Linked DNA regions of Drosophila melanogaster. The protein of the gene in region 1 interacts with the protein of each later gene in a pairwise test. Each region holds a gene or a part of one and is shown in the gene's direction. Other genes may lie near its edges. The genes, in order: CG11322, Uqcc1 and CG3704.

What was found.
Region 2: the proteins of CG11322 (region 1) and Uqcc1 interact in a two-hybrid assay, tested with the Drosophila melanogaster proteins (one large-scale study listed by BioGRID).
Region 3: the proteins of CG11322 (region 1) and CG3704 interact in a two-hybrid assay, tested with the Drosophila melanogaster proteins (one large-scale study listed by BioGRID).

Annotation. Positions count from the first base shown.
Region 1 is NT_033779.5:6,756,492-6,762,384, reverse strand, and holds CG11322 (uncharacterized protein), read left to right. Parts: upstream 1-2,756; 5' UTR 2,757-2,890; coding exon 2,891-4,333; 3' UTR 4,334-4,521; downstream 4,522-5,893. Other genes in the region: LUBEL (linear ubiquitin E3 ligase), read left to right, coding at 1-278, 350-616, 692-1,149, 1,216-1,587, 1,657-1,825, 2,160-2,195.
Region 2 is NT_037436.4:6,954,705-6,960,018, reverse strand, and holds Uqcc1 (Ubiquinol-cytochrome c reductase complex assembly factor 1), read left to right. Parts: upstream 1-1,910; 5' UTR 1,911-1,997; coding exon 1,998-2,054; intron 2,055-2,167; coding exon 2,168-2,356; intron 2,357-2,415; coding exon 2,416-2,667; exon of another isoform or gene 2,668-2,734; coding exon 2,735-3,016; 3' UTR 3,017-3,071; downstream 3,072-5,314. Other genes in the region: Surf1 (surfeit 1), read right to left, coding at 498-879, 936-1,130, 1,193-1,314, 1,383-1,586; CG9948 (uncharacterized protein), read right to left, coding at 3,072-3,565, 3,622-3,784; CG10077 (uncharacterized protein), read left to right, coding at 4,631-4,638, 4,850-5,314. UniProt on the Drosophila melanogaster protein: Required for the assembly of the ubiquinol-cytochrome c reductase complex (mitochondrial respiratory chain complex III or cytochrome b-c1 complex). May be involved in cytochrome b translation and/or stability.
Region 3 is NC_004354.4:937,771-943,396, reverse strand, and holds CG3704 (uncharacterized protein), read left to right. Parts: upstream 1-2,591; 5' UTR 2,592-2,663; coding exon 2,664-3,245; intron 3,246-3,310; coding exon 3,311-3,664; intron 3,665-3,720; coding exon 3,721-3,933; 3' UTR 3,934-4,227; downstream 4,228-5,626. Other genes in the region: CG3703 (uncharacterized protein), read left to right, coding at 1-95, 601-790; mus81, read right to left, coding at 923-2,203; CG32815 (uncharacterized protein), read right to left, coding at 5,385-5,456.

The DNA of each region.
Region 1 (5,893 bases):
TTAACTCCAATCAGGCCGATGGACCCAGCACCAGTGGAGCAGCGGCTGCGGCAGCAGCGGCATTGTTGAAACCTCGATCCCAACCCCGAATCCCAAAGAAGAAATACCACGAGACCTGCTTCTCTGACGATGACTACGAGACCTCGGCCACGGAGGAGGAGCAGGAGGAACCCAACTTGGCCGAGCCCCAAAAAGCAGAACAGCTGAAGCGTAAGATGAGTATGCCCGTTTTTCGGGCATATCCTAGTGTTCAAGAGCCGGTAATCGAGGATCCAGCGGTGTGTACAAGCCAAGTTTTTAGCTAAGCAAGTACTATAATCATCTTGGAACGTTTGCTTTCTCATTTTAGATCCTTGCCCGCAAGTACGTCGATCAGGAGCTGGTGACCAATATCGCAGAGGCCCAGATAGCCGCCACCTTGGTGAGCATGAAGTTCTCGGAAGACGTGGCTCTGTGGGCGGCCAGGGAGTGCTCCGATCTGGACCAGGCCATTGCCATGCTCCAGCAGGAGTGCGAGCTCTGCATGAACAGCTATCCCATGAATCAGATGGTGTCCATGCTAAAGTGTCTGCACAAGTGCTGCAAGCAGTGTGCCAAGAGCTACTTTACAGTACAGGTGAGTGGCTTAAGTGGTCATAAAGGATAATGAAAAGTCTGACAATTGCTCCATCACTTAAACTTCCTTTCGCAGATAACCGATCGCAGTATAAACGATTGCAGTTGCCCGTTTTGCAAGCTGCCCGAGTTGAGCAACGAGGCTCAGCATGAGGATGAGCACCTCGAGTACTTCTCCAACCTGGACATCTTCCTGAAGAGCATCCTGGACAACGATGTGCACGAACTGTTCCAGCGCAAGTTGCGCGATCGCTCGCTGCTGCAGGATCCCAACTTCAAGTGGTGCATCCAGTGCTCGTCCGGATTCTTCGCTCGGCCCAAGCAGAAGCGATTGATTTGTCCGGACTGTGGATCCGTTACCTGTGCCCAGTGCCGAAAGCCCTGGGAGCGCCAGCACGAGGGCAGTAGCTGCGAAGCTTATCTGGAATGGAAGCGCGAAAACGATCCCGAGCTGCAGGCCCAGGGTGTCCAGGAGCATTTGGCCCAAAACGGCATCGACTGTCCCAAGTGCAAGTTCCGATACTCGCTGGCCAGGTATGTTCAGATACAGAAATATCAGTATGTTGTATCTTTTACAAGTTCAATGTTCAACCTATACAGAGGCGGATGCATGCATTTTACCTGTACTCAGTGCAAATTCGAGTTCTGCTACGGATGTGCCCGACCCTTCATGATGGGTGCCAAGTGCACTGTGTCCACATACTGTGCCAAGCTCGGTCTCCATGCCCATCATCCGCGCAACTGCCTGTTCTACCTGAGGGATAAAATCCCCCTTCAGTTGCAGTTCCTGCTCAAGGAGCAAAACGTCAAATTCGACACGGAACCCATGCAGATCAAGGACGAGTCCAGCAGTTCGTCCAAGGCTCGTGCCCAGGCCCGCTGCCCGATCCCGCTGCAAAAGGAGACGCCGCAAGGACTAGTCGACACAGTGTGCAACACGGAAGTTCCTGACAAGCACGCTGGCATGTGTCGGTAAGTTTAATATCGGGAAATCCCCGAAAAATCATATTTTTCAACCAATATACTTCTATATCATTTAAGCACCCACTACGTAGAGTATTTGGCTGGCAAGGTTGCCAAGGCTGGCATCGATCCACTGCCCATCTTTGATCTGACGGACTGCGTCCAGGAGCTGCGAAGGCGAGGCATCGCTCTGCCGGAGAGAGGACCCTGGGACACCGATGAGATCTACAAGAACATGTGCTCCGAGGTAGGTGTTGGCTATCATCAGTTGATGGCTTAATTGATTTCCTTTTATTTCATTGGCCTTAATCGCGGAAATCGAGTTCCATGCGTTCCGGGGGCGATTTGTTTTTGCCGAATGATTCAGCGGCCGCTCCTGGCGATGGATCGATACCGAAAAATCCAAATAAAATGAAAACAAAATCGTTCAGCCGCTAACTAAATTTGCATGCCGTCTGACGTATTTCACACGCTTCTTAATTGATATTCGTTTTATTATTATTTAATTGTAAACAGTTTGGGCGGTCGAATCGATAATGTTTATAAATGTTCCAATCTCTCAATCTCGATCTTACTTTTAGGTAATCAAAAAGCATATACCACTGAAATCGGCATGAGCAGAATCTGAACAAGTGATGTTTTGGAAGCAGACGACTATTGCAATTCTTCACCAATATCTTTGATTTATGGCGGCACTTTTATAGACATTTTTATACACCCACCACCCCACCCACACTCACGAATCAAACTTCAGTGCTAGACAGTTCGTTAGACATTAGACATGGCATGTATACACCTTCATTGTACACCCACCCACTCATCGTTTATCCATCCAGAAACCTTTCCCATTTTGTTTAGTTACTAAGAGATGGAAAACAACAGACCGAATATCCGCACGTGTAATAGAGTGCATCCAATAAACGGCGGCATATGTGAAAATCCAATCCAATCGTTTCTAGAATTTATTTTAAGCTTTTCAGCCTGTGCCTAACAATGTGCAGATGGTTAGTTTGGAAAGTGTTGTTTGCTGTGGGCGGTTCCAGGACTTTCGAATCGATTTCGCATTTGAGATGTCCGCACAATCAAATACAAATCCGGACGACAGCGTGGTCAACCCAACCAAGGACTGCAGACCAAAGGCGCACAGGTAGCCTATGACTTAGCCATCAGTCCAGGCAATCAAACTAATTTCAAGTAATCCGTGCTCCAAACACCTCCGACTTTGGGAGCTGCACCAGAAATTCATCAAGGATACCTCTCCGATTTCTTCGATGATATGAACGACAGCAGTCGTAGTTCCATGGATACCGACATGGAAATACAGAAGTTGCCAGTGAAACGGCACTTGCCGGTGACCAAAGGCCATGGGTGTGTTAAAAATAAGTGCCGCCGAAATCTAGACGAGATGTCCATCCAACAGTTTTCCGACTCATCCTCTCAGTCGGAGGGCGATGGCGAGGAGGACTCCAATGATGCCGACGACGAGGAGTATCAGCAGCCCGAGTGGACGGGTCGCAAAAGGCCGCCGCTGGTCTATCTCGAGTTGGGCGATAAAATCATTATCGTTAGGAACGAGCCACAGCCCAACGTCAAGCTGGAAGACGATGTGCAACTTAAAACGAAGATGCACAAATTTTTGGGTCTGATACCATCACGCCGCAAGCTCTACAATCCTGCGGTGGTTTACGATATGAAGCCGGAGGATATTGAGAATATCAATTGTGTCGTCAATTCATCCCATGCGTCCGCAGAGCCATTTACTCCATCAGCCGAGCAACCAATTCGTCCGAAAACAATGATGACATCCACTTGGTCAAAGCTTAATTTGTCGAATATCGATGAACCGACCCCTGAGGAGAGCCAGGCTAAAAGCAAAAATGACTTTGAGCTCTGGTCCATTGCATTCTCCTTTGATCAGTGCACCCCGGACTTGCATAAGGAGCCCATTGATCTTATCGATTTACCCAACGAAGAGCAGTTGGCCGCCAACTGCCGACGTCACAAAAGCAGTGTGCCATGCCTGGAGCGGCATCCAAAGTTCTACGGATTCGTTCGTTCGCTCAGCCCTTCGATTTCGCTCAATATGTGCCATCCACTGGCGCTCACCTACAGGCAAAACAATTTCAAAATCTGCAAGGTGGCACTGGCCAAAGTGCTGTTCAACATCTTCAACCACGCGATCTTCCACTGTGGCCTTCAGGTGCCCATTGTTTGGAAGCACGCAATGCACACGCGATGCACATGCCAGCTGACCGTCGATGCCCATGGTAAGCGCAGAGCCAAGATTCTACTTCTGCGGAGTATAAAGACTACGGCGGAGCTAATCCGCTGCCTGCTGCACGAGATGTGCCACGTGGCGGCATTTGTGTTCAATCGGGAGTTGGGTCACGGCGACAATTGCCGCAGGTGGGCCTACCAGGCGAAGATGGCCCTGCCGGAGGCACCCACCATCGAGGACAACTGCATAGATAGCTTCAAGTACACCTGCACTATGTGCACCCGATGCTCCTACGGCGTGGCCGACTTGAGCATGCAGAACCTACGTTGCTACTACTGCCAGTTCGAGGTGAGCGTGAAGAACGTTTGGAAGTCAGAGATGTACGATTGGACCCGGTCAGATCCGACGATGACACCGTTCAAGTGCTTTATTTGGGACAGGTACTTGCAGCTGGGCGAGCAGGGAGCCAACACGCACTCCACGAATATGGCGTTGCTCAACGAGGAGTTCATGAGACTGAACTCCACAATGGATTAGAATGCAGCGACTTTGCTGCTGGCATAGAATTTTAAGTATATATTTTGTATAGGATAGGAGTGACTTAACCACAAAATCCCATTAGAATACTAATTCAAATCCCATAGTTTTGTTAACTTGTTAAATTATTGTTTCTTTGTTTCTCTTGTTTTCTGTTACCAGTTAAATAAAATACACAACTATTAAATGACTGCATACTTTTGAGCTATTCTGATGAGTATGCTGTGAGTATCTGGAAAGTCGTATATCCACAGAGACTTATTATTATATTCATCTCCTTGGCCGCTTGTGATATTGCCAAAAAGGCAAATGCGAGCCATAAATTAAGTCCCGAGACGAAAAGCAAAGGCACAAGCACAACAACCAGATGAGCGAAAAAAAGCAATACAGTAAGTGGGGGATATTCAGATACAAATTCAAATTCAGATTCAGATACGCCAAGTTACTCGGTGGAGAACAGGGAAGGCGATGGGACGATGGTGGTGGCATCGTAAAAACCTATTTTCGTAGCGATTGAAATGAATTTATGCGCGCGGCACAACATGTTTTGATATTCGGACAGTTTTACACCAATAACAACTAATTAAATGGGATAAATTGTATATTTATTGATCCATAAACGATCGTCTCGTCCTAAAAGTTTTGCTTCTGGCTTTGAACTCAAACCCGAACTGCAACACTCACATACGCGGTTTTAAGTTTTTGATTTTCAGTTTTCGAGTTCGGTACGCGTGGCGTGAAAATATGCAGATCACATGGACTTTTTTTAAAATTATTTATGAGCATCGGTTTGCTAAGTTAAGTTAAGTTTGTCAAACACGTGGACAGCTATCGAAAACTATAAGCATCGCAAATACACTTGGGAATCCAGCAAAATTTATTATTTCGTTAAATATTTATTTTCAAAATAAAGGAAAGGCTTTCAAGCGTGACTAAATAATTTCAATAAAAATCTAAAATCTTTATGTTTTCATAATAATATTATAAGGTAAAATGGAAGGATATTCCTAATATAAGATAAGATAAGCGTATATGCAAACGAGAATCCTATTACTCAAAATTTTGAAATTTTTTGAAATGTTTTATATGCAGGTGTCTTAAAAAACTTTCACATTCTTCGTCTAGCCGGCATTTTAGCACATTCTGCTCTCGGCCATTAAAACATTTAAGTGCTGGCATGCGGCTCGTTAAAAAATGTCTTCAACTCGGCTATTTTAGCCGGCAAAGTCAAGGTGAAATGACACTGACCCCGCGTGCTTGAGTTAATTACAGGTTAACCGAAGGCATTAATCAATCACTTGGCCAATCGATGGGATCAAATCGAATCGAATCGGATCGGATCGGATCCGTGTGGCCTCTGATTCGTGGCTGCCCGAATGGAACCATTAAACGGCATTACGTGGAGCGCGTAGTGCAAACAATGTGAATGTCCGCCCACCCAGAACACGGCGTAACCTCACCTTTGTTGAATTAACCTTAGCGCATGTTTATCACAGACCAAATTACGGAATGGCAGGGGCGTCACATCCTGTCCACGTCCACAGCAAACAGTGCGAACTG
Region 2 (5,314 bases), on another chromosome or scaffold:
CAAATCATCAGAGGACTCTGTCAGTTTTAAGTGAAAAGTAAAGTTGAATTCTTGCATTTTGTATATTAGTTTCTAAAGGATATAAGCTTTTAAAACATTTCTGTATATAACTAGAAAGCGAATTACTTATTTGAACAACATAAGGCAATGATTGATTAACCACAAAGTTATAAAACGTAGTAACTATTTTTGATCAGACAATATAATATTATGTAGCTTTCCCCATATCGACCCAAACTAACGAGTGTGTTTCTAAATAGTTAAAGTATTCAACTAGGCACACCCGCAAGGGAAACCCTCGAACCGTATTTGTATTCATATTCCTATTCCTATTCCCCTGTCGATCCGCCACTCGAGGATCGGTAGTTGCAATATTAAGTCCCAGCAGGACAATAATCCCCTCCTGCGGCGGGCCAATAAAAACCAGCATTTACACGAGAGCATGTAAATTTTTATAATAAAAATAACAACAGTGCGTTTGATTTGGGTTCCCTTTTTCAGAAGGGTATCCTCTTGACTATTTGGCGGTACCACAAAAAGGAGGTGGCCGCCGATAGACTGAACCAGGTCACCAGGTACGACAGATGATCGTTGCGCAGGGTAACGCGTGTCTGTCCACCGATTGGAGCATGTGCAGCCGTTTGCGGATCGTAGACGGCGTCCAGGAACACAGGAGCTGCTCCTGTGGCGGCGCACATGCGCGCCAAGTCGCGATAGAGATAGACATTGCCCTTGTGGTCGGGTGTGAACTGCGGACGCGCCTCTCCTTTGCGCACGACGGCGGTGAGCTCCACTTCCGCCTGTTGTTGGCCCAGCGGCCTGGTTTCCGGCTCCACTTGCTTGCGGGACACCCAGCCCCGATTGACGAGCACTATGTCGCTGGGGGCGAAACGATATTAAGATGATTCTATGGGATTTCCTTGAGCACAACTTACTCTCTATCTGCCAGCTGAAAAGGGGTTACTATTAGATAGCCATTGCCCGAGTCGCGCTGCGAGAAGAGTCCTCCTTGGGTTTCCACGCCATCGGGCCGTATCAGCGATCTCGGACCCAGGCGCATCTCCTTGTCGTGAAGGAAACGTCCACGGATCTTGACCAGGCGGTACTCCATTTGGGCCAAGTCAGTGAGACTACAGGAGGGAATACACTATAGTGGGTGGGTATATAGTGGAGAATATGTGGGCAAACCTACTCGTCTGGTAGAGCCACAGGCGCCGTGCTCAGCTGCTTGTTGAGATCCTTGATCAACTGCTCCTTCCAAATCTTGCGCTTCACTTGCCAGCAGCCCAAGCCAAAAGTGGTGGCCGGTATGAGCTGGGGATTGGTTAATGGACAACAAGGATTAGTTGTGTGTATAGGTAGAGGAGTTGGTGTCTACCCACCAGGAGGAACCATCCCAAAGGAGCTATCTTCTCCTTGTCCTTCGCCGCCTGATTGGGAATACTGGTTGTCCAATTCACCGGCGGTCGCTGTTGTGTCATCTTTCTGGTGATTAATCTCGGATTGTTCGCGGTGCCCGGGTTTCGGAATACAGTCTGTATATTAAAGGCCACTTGCCGGCACATTTGGTTCCCCAAACGTATCATACTTTCTTTTATTTTGCTCTAAATTTTCTATTTATTTATTTATTTACATTTCCAACTGGAAGTTGATAGTAAGACCGTTTTGCACTGTTATGAACGGATAATAACTTCATGCGGTCACACCACTTCCGAATGTAAGCTCTTCTTGATTTTATGAATTAAGACTGCAAAGGTTTAAAGTATATAAAAAATAAAGTAATAGTTATTACTTTTCACATGCAAAAAAAAAAACATTTTTCTTTCTTTACAAAGATTTGTATCTGTTACTGTTAATCATATGTTAGCAAGTCACTGTTAACATGTCGTTATACCCAAGTTGGCAGCCCCGTTACGATCAGCTGTTTTAGTCTGTTGTCGCGTGCAATTGGATTTTTTAAACGATTTTGTTTTAGTAAATTTAGGATACATTTAAGAATGCAGTGCACTCGTGCAGTTGCAAGACTGGCCGGCGGCCTAGCGAGAACCGCATGGGTATGTTTAAAGCAGGGGTTGTACTTTATTTAGTCAAAACACGGTCATCCGAATGCACCGCCATCAACTCTTATATAAACGGATATAAAATTTTTAAATTAAACATATTATAGGCAACACAACATACGTATAAGCACAGGCCAGCGATACTGGGACTGCTGGAGCAGCCATGCCGCTTGTGTTCATCCACCGGCGTTGTGGATAATACCAATAAAACGAAACCCGGCACAGCGGAAGCCGCAGAAGGCGGTATTCTGAAGAGAGTGCTCAACAAAGTGGGCTTCACACCGAACACAAAGGCGGTAGGACTCGGATTACTTTGCCCATTTGATTAATATTCATCGAAGTGATCCCATTTCAGCGCCTCAAGGTAACCAGTCATCTGCTGTACGAAAGCGTCGCCGACAAGATCAACTATGTGACCTTTTTCCGCGACTTCAATCTGCCCAATACCTTTAACTCCTGGTTCTTGGTCACCGAACTGCATGTTTGGCTACTCCTGATGCGCTCCATGGCCGAGGGCTCCGAAACGGGCGAGGATGGACGCTTCCTGCGCAACTGCATTGTGGAGGCGATGTGGGGAGATGTTAACACACGCGCCAAGAAATTGGGAGTAGGTTTTACTTTAGTTCACCTTTATATATATAATCTTTATGCTCTTCATATGTGTTTCCCAACAGGCTCACAATCCTTCACGCACCCGTCAGCAAATCGAGACCTTATCCGAGCAGTTCCAAGCGGCCCTAATCGCCTACGACGAGGGCATCATGTCCGACGATCGGGTTTTGGCCTGCGCCTTGTGGCGCCGCTTCTTCGAGATGAACTGTGATGATTACGCGCAGATCGAGCGACTGGTGAAGTACGTCCGCCAGCAGGCCAGCATGCTGGACAGTTTGCCGCGCGATCAGTTCATTGTCAAGCCGAAAGTGGCATGGTTGGAATTGGACAAGTGCAAGGTTTAATCTTAGTTATATTCTGTTTTTTAAAAATAAAGTTTGAGAGTATGTGAACTGGAAACTAGATGCTAAGGTCCTCCACGGACTGATTACTCAAGGCACGCAGCTGGCACTTGAGCAGAAATGCTGTAATCCTTCGTTCTGCCCTTCTCCGCTGCGGTTCCTTTAGTTGGGCCAGTATTTGGTCCATCTGGAGAAAGCTGCTTCTGGGCGAGATTATTTCAGCGGGCTCTTGTTCCTCGTAGATGATTTCCTCTTGGATGATCTGTTCACTGGGCTCCTCGATGACCTCCTCGATTATGAACGTACTCGACTGCTGTGGAACATCCCCATCCTCAAAAGTGTCCCACAAAAATTGCACAGGAGTTTCCGTCTGGATGGTCGCCTCCTGTTTGTTTGTTTTGGGTTTGGTTTTCACTTTGGAGGGCGGCTGGATCTCGGCCAAAAATCGCAGGCGTTCCAGGTACGGCCAGGTGGATCCACTGGTGTCCGCGCGGCGAAACTCCTTGCGAAACTGATAGTGCAGATTGTTCCAGCGCATCAGGCAGAAGTCCACTAAGAGGATTATAACTTTAAATATATATATCTTATTCTTTTATTAGCTGACTTACCATCACAGCCCATCATCTCGGCTATGCGAGCCCAGATATCGGTTTTCGCCTTCATGGCATCGTAGTTCGAGAGTCCAGATCTCTTATAGAGCACAGGATTGGGTTCCACCAGATCAATTAGCTTGAAGTCGAAAGGTCTGTTTTTCTTGTAACTGGTGCGCATGGCTACCAAATTGAATTAAACTAGCTTGAACTTGATAATTAAGAATCCCTTGCTTGAGCCATGTTTATTTACCTTATGAAGTACAGCAGAGCTACGATTAAGCGAAAACCATTTGGCACGTATTGTATGTCATAATTGCGGGCTTAAGATACTTAACAAATGAAGGGAAATTACATAATAATAAATTATATTTTAACTGCATTATTAGAACCTTGTTTATTAGTTATTACTTTACAGATAGAAATTTACAGGTTAACTACATTGAGCGATCACTGTAATATTCCAATTTATGTCCACACTTTGGTTTTTGGGTCGTTCTATAGGCTGGTCACATTTTTCTTGCTGACCATTATTATCGAAGTTGCTTTACCCGATAGGTTCCAGACAAACAATATCAGACGTCTTTGTTTTGCTTAAAAAATTAATAGTTCTTATTGTTAATTACCGGTGCCGCATTAAAAAAATACTGGTTAGACAACGAAGTAACTACAAACTAGCAACCATAGTGCTCTAAAGTGCTCTTAATAGTGTTCCATATTCTTTTCAGTTATTATTTTTATTTAATTTGTTATTATTAGAAACGTTCACAATAATTATTTATATATTAAAAGTTTCCTACTAACAAATATTTTGACATTTTTCCCTATTCGTTGTGATCGTTTCTAGAAAATTCAATCGATGTTTCCAGAAAACCTAACCTATCGAACCAATCGATATTAACACCGATTTTTTCCACAGCTCTATTGACGACGTAGAAGCTGAAAAAATTGTGGAGTGAAAAATTGTAAAAGTGACCGAAAAAACTATACTTTGGCCAGCTATATTTCCACTTACATCACACCAGCAATGAACATGTGAGTATTGAAACACAGGCACACATTTTTTAAGCCCAAATTTCGGTTTAGCATGCGGCCAGGGGCCGAGTGTCGAAAATCAATAAATTCAAAATGGCAGTAAAAAATGAAAATTACATAAAAAAAGGTCGCTTCGTGTAAATTTCAACATTTTGGCAACGCATTAAAGGGCTCAAAATTCTAATTTTATGGCACAAAACGCTCGTCGCAGGTACAACGGACAGATGAACGCCTTCGGAGGCGGTGGCGGCGGAGGAGCTGGTGGCCTAGCCGGCGGTATGGTGCCCAATCGCATGGGCGGTGGTGCTCCCGGTGGCGGACCCGGCGGAGCGGGCATGTTCCAGCGCAATCGCTCGGCCCCATACCCAGGTTTCAATGGTCATGGACCCGCCAACGGTGGACAGCGACGCATGAACGGTGGTGGTCCTAGCATGGGACCCGGCGGACCACGCAACCAGGATGGATTCGGTGGTCAGAACGGGGGCCAGCGCTCTTCCAATCATGGCGCTCACTTGCCCAAGATCGTTTGGTCTGAGGTGAATCTTACGCCATTCCGCAAGAACTTTTACAAGCCGTGCGATTCGGTGCTGGCCAGGACTGTCGGTGAAACAGAGACCTTCCTCACCAGCAATGAGATCACCATCAAGGGCGATCAGGTGCCCACACCCAGTATTGA
Region 3 (5,626 bases), on another chromosome or scaffold:
TTGCTCAGCGCCGTGGGCATGATTCTGGCAATGCATCGTCCATACAAACGGAGTAACAACGCGCACTTTAAAGCCTTCGTCTGCGCCGGACTCAAGTGAGTTATTTACATGGGCTAAACGCTGGGAAATCGAAGGAATGTTAGTTAAGATGAATTTACAAGCCGCATAACTTTGCAATACCATATTATTTACAGGTGCATAGTTTGAAGCACTAGCCTTTTACATCTTCAAATCTTCATTTTATAGTTATTTTCCTGGCAAAGAGGAATCTTAAAGAGCAAGAGACACACAAACTTTTTATAATTACAAGTGTCCAAAATCAAAATATTCTTACTGCAATTATCAGCAATTCTGCGGTAATGTCAATTCTCTACTGTCTTAAACTTTTTTATCAATGAATTGCTTAATCGATTTTTTGCTTTAACATGTAAATATAAATATGTAAATATTAATATATTTAGCTAGGTGCAGGTAGCTTTTGACTTTGCAGTCTGCCGAATTAATTTAAGCATAAGGCTAACAGGGACGCGGGGATAGACCTTTACCTTGGCTTTTATCACACTTCTTTCATTCGAAATGCTTTTCTCTTCCTTCAAACAGTTCCCATTTGCTGGTGGAGTGGCTGAACCTGATCCTCAGCTGCCATGAACTGGTGGACACGTACTACTCAGCAGACAGCTACGTGGCCCGCACCGGATTCCGCGACTCACTGCGCTCCATCGATGCTCTTTCTCGATTTGACTTCGACCTGCCGGTGGACCTGGCCATCCGGCACTTCCGCAACATCTAAGGGCGGCTGACTTGTACATTTTTTGGCTTAGACTAGATCACACTATTCAATGTCCAACGTATTCTCTCTCTCACTTATGTATAAACTCGTGTATATAACCTTAGATATGTCCCATAAAATCAATTGCTAATCCTAACGAAAGTGCGTGCTGTAGAATTCGTGTAGGCACTGGCTGATCTTGTCGCCCAGTGGACGTTCCAGGGGTCCACACGGGATGCTGGCGAGGAGTAGCCTGGCCTGCTTTTGGTCTGCACACTCCGCGTATGCGTCCAGCAGCCAGCGTGGAGTGGGGTATCTTTCCACAATAGCCATGGCGCGTTCGAGGGAAAGGGAATGCAGCTGTAGCAACTGTTGCACGAAAACCTCGCGCACTGTGAGCTGGGCATTCTTTGCGGAATCCTCATATAGGGCCCGAAACTTGAGCAACCCCAGGTCGGAATGCGTGAGCAGGCAGGTGGATTGGTCGATGGCGCCGCGATCCACGCTGTGCAACTTCTTGCCGGCGAATATCTGGCCAAGGGTGCGACTCATTCCGGCCAAATAGCTCATGGATCGGTAATGATTCGCCGTGCGCACCACTCGGACACCAGTTTGAACTTTGGCATTAGTCAGAGCCTGCTGCAAGGAGTCCAGTGGAAGGCCCAGCTGCTCGTTATCGCCATAGTCCTCGACCAGGTAGATGATGTGCTGCAGGCCGCAGTGCTGCAGCCTGTGCTTCTGTTCGTGGAAGCGACCATCCCGAATACTCGATGCCAGGTCGTCCATCCTCTTGCGCTCCACAATGTAGGGTAAAACCAGTTCATTGCCCTCTTGATCCTGGGCCACCCAAAGGAAATCGCCGATTGTCAGGCGACGCACTTCATGACGGGCTCCCAAGGACTCCAAGTAGCTCCTCGTCTGGTCCAGAACTCTCTTGTTTTTGCCACTGGTTTCCTGAGTATCCACCAAAAGGAGTAACTGGAATTGACCTGGTTTCATTCGCACGACGCGCTCCCGCTCTTCAAGGGCTGCCAGCTCCGCCAGATCTTTTTTGGTTAGCTTCCTGGGCCTGTCGCATTTATTCTGGCGTTTCTGGTGTTCCAGCTGCTTCTCCTGAACCTTGCGTACTACCGCCTGGACCTGCTGCTCGTAGCGCTCCTGAACCACGGCCTCCTGTGGCAGCAATTGGAGGCCTCTGTGATGGCGAAGTTCCTCGTCGATTAGCTGGCAGAGGGTGCCCCCAAAGCCGCGCAGAATGGAACAGTCTCGTCCGCTGGCCAATGGCAGAGGGTAGCTTTTTAGGGACTCCAACGCCTGGCGCAGGCTAAACTGGGACTTCTGTTCTCGGCGCTCCGCTTCGCGCAGCCAGCGCTCCAGCCAACGGGTGAACAATGGATTCGGCTCCCGCAAGAGCACTTCCAGTCGGGTCTCCATTGCTTCACAACTTTTATTATGTAAAACAATGCCAAATAATAAAACTAATGCACGGCAAATAAACGCGCTTCAATTGCCGGCTTCTGGTGGTGGCATTTTTATTACTGTACAACTAGTTTAAAGCTTATTATGGCTTTCGATATATACGGTATGTTCTAAACTCTTCGGTATTTTTTTTTGATTTGTTTTTTTGGCGGGCAAGCAAAAACTGAACTGGCAAAACTGAAGATGTGTGATTCCACGAAGGCTGCTGCGATTAAGGGAGTGTGTTAACTATGTAATGGCCGACATGTTTCCACGCAGGATAAAAAGCAGCAACAACAGCTGATGTTTGTTGGTATCTGAAGCGAATTCAGGCGGCGCAAAGAGCACACTTTCCATAGGACGGTCACACTGCCTCTGCACGCTTGTTTTTGCGCCTCCTGTTTTTGTTTTGATTCTTAGTGAAGCCGTGAGAGAAATGGCAGAGGGAGTGGAGAGCATCAAGCTGGAGGCGCTGTCGCTGAGCGAGGGAATCCGGGAGTCGCCCGTGTGCATACTGGTGCTGGGAATGGCCGGCAGCGGGAAGACCACGTTCACACAGAAGCTCATCCAGCACGCCCAGGAGAAGTTCAATCCGTACGTGGTCAACCTGGATCCGGCGTGCAGGGAAGTACCGTACGCGGCGCACGTGGACATACGGGACACGGTCAACTACCGGGAGGTGATGAAGCAGTACCAACTGGGTCCCAACGGTGGCATTGTGACCGCGCTCAATATGTTCACCACCAAAATGGCACAGTTTGCGGAGCTAGTGCGTCGCGCTGGCGAGCGCGGACACAAGTGGTGTGTGATCGACACGCCCGGACAGATCGAGGTGTTTAACTGGTCGGCTTCCGGGAGCATCATAACCGAGGGACTGGCCACCATGTTTCCCACCATTGTGGTCTATGTAATGGATGTGGAGCGCAGTGCTTGCCCTACCACCTTCATGTCCAACATGCTGTACGCCTGCTCCATCCTGTACAAGACCCGTTTGCCCTTCCTTGTGGCGCTGAACAAGGTAACGACTTTCCCGGCAACCCAGATATCCAGATGTATAGAAAACTTCTTTTCCGCTTCAAACAGATCGACCTAAAGGACTGCGGATTTGTGATGGATTGGATGACAGACTTCGAGGCCTTCCAGGAGGCCCAGGAGGAGGAGCACAGCTTCGTGAGCAACCTCACGCGCACCATGTCGCTCACCCTGGACACCTTCTACGAGAATCTAAGAACGTGCGGCGTCTCGGCCAAGACAGGCGTAGGCTTCACCCAGCTACTGACGAAGATTCTCGAAAGCGTGGACGAGTACGAGACGGACTACAAGCCTGTTTACGAAAAGAAGCGCCAAGAGCGACTGGCGGAGAGTGCGACGGGTCCAAAGCCAGTGGATCATGTGGAAGAGGACGGCCATGCCGTTCCCCTGGGATTGTCGCTTCAGGTAGGAACAGTTCCTCGGCTATTTGTGCACCCACTGCAGGGTCTTAACTATTTCAGGACCCACCGCCGCACACTGGAAACAGCATTTTCCTAATGGCACCTAGTCTGGTGCCCGAGTCGGCGGAAATCGAAGACGAGGAGGAGATGGAGGAGGACGCGAAGGGCACCGCCGAAGAACAAAACTTCCACAGCTTCGTGCAGAACCACCTGACTGCCCAGCAGAGCAAGCGGGACAAACTGCAGCAGGAACAGGAACAGGCTCAGCCGTAAATGGGCGGATTGTGATCCTCGATGGCTATGGATTTCGTGATTTCGAGTTTTCATTTTTATTATTTACTTTAACAAGCAAAAACATTCAATATAGTGTGTGTTCGTCACTTGCACCTCCGATATTTGGTTTGTATATATGGACTTAGTTTAGCTTTGCAAATTAGTGATAACATATACATATGGAGGATATATCCCGCTCGTAAATGTAAATGCAAGCCTCATACTTTGCGTAACTTACTCTGTATATATATATATGTATGCAGATAAATATATATATATTTACATTTATGCTGTATGTATCATGTGTGGTGTGTACTGCGTTGAGCAAATAAATTGTGTGTCGCGTGTGTTGGCTGCTGCGCCCGATATCTTACGCTTTATAGTTGCTTCTCTGGATTTGGTTGTCTCGTTATTGGCTGCCGCTTTAAATATTACGCTTACAAAAATACAGATCATCTCAAATACTTGTCAATGCCTCACAGTTATACACAGTTTATATAGACGAACAGTAGTCCCCCGCTACGGTTTCTCACCGCCCTACTGCTCACTGCCCAACTGTCCCATCTGAATCGAATCGAATCGAATCGCCAAGCGTTTTGGGCCAAGACGGACTTGCATCCCCATCCCCATCCCCGCCTGCCTGTGCTGCAAATTAGGTGTAGTCGCTTGCAAAAAAATATTCATATCTCTGGACGTTTCATTTGATTTGAGTGCGTTTTCCGAGGGCTGTGCCTCGGTGCTTTTGTGCCTCGGTGCTCCCTTTTCCGCGATGCGTCCACCAATTGGTTTCAGAGCAGCAGGAACAGCAGACACAAAAGGTGGATTGTGTTTAAAAAGCTCGGTTAGTTTGGAAAGTACTTCGGATGAGATCGAACATTGTCACATCTTCGTGCCGAGAGCCCAGCTATTGGTGGTGCACGGAGGGGCTCAGTGGCCAGCGTGGACACCACCACATCCCTCGCACGTCAAGTTATCAAGCTAGCTCTTGCATTTATGCATATTTATAAGTAACGGGTATCTTGGGGATCACACACACACACATACACACACACTATCAGCACACACACGCACACAGTTTTGTAAGGATGGGTGATTGGTAAGAGGGGGGGGACAGTGCGGGGTGAAGACAAGCATTGGAAAAATTTGGGGATAGCTAAACAGTAGTTTCAGAAACAGTCTTCTTCGTGCTTGGATTACTCTTTGCTCCGCCTTCCGCCTGCCTCATGGCCAGAAGCGGAGGGGAAATTTGGGGATCGGGATCGGGATTAGCATACTGGATCAGCTGGCGTGGAGCCATCTCAGCAGGTCCAGGTGTCTGGGTAATCGTGTGTGTCTCAAACGGATGGGCGAAGTGGGCGATGGCCCAGCCAGCGACTTTGGATCGCTCAAGCAGGCCGGAAATCAAAAGCTGGAACCGAGGGCGAACAGGGAATCATCTGAACGAGCTCCAATTAGTCGTCGTCCGACAGGTTGGTGGTGGTCAGCAGGGTGGCGTTGTCCTCGGCGCCCTGTTCCTCGATGTCCTGCAAGAGAGAAAAGTTATTCAGGCTTCGGATCACCATATGGATCACCTTGGGGTAATCACCAGGACAATGGGAAGTTGCAGGAGAAGGAGGAGGAGCAATTGAAAACACGCAGTGTGGGCTTTGCTTTTCTCTTTTGTTGTATTTGTTTCTTTTTTCATTTTTTTTTT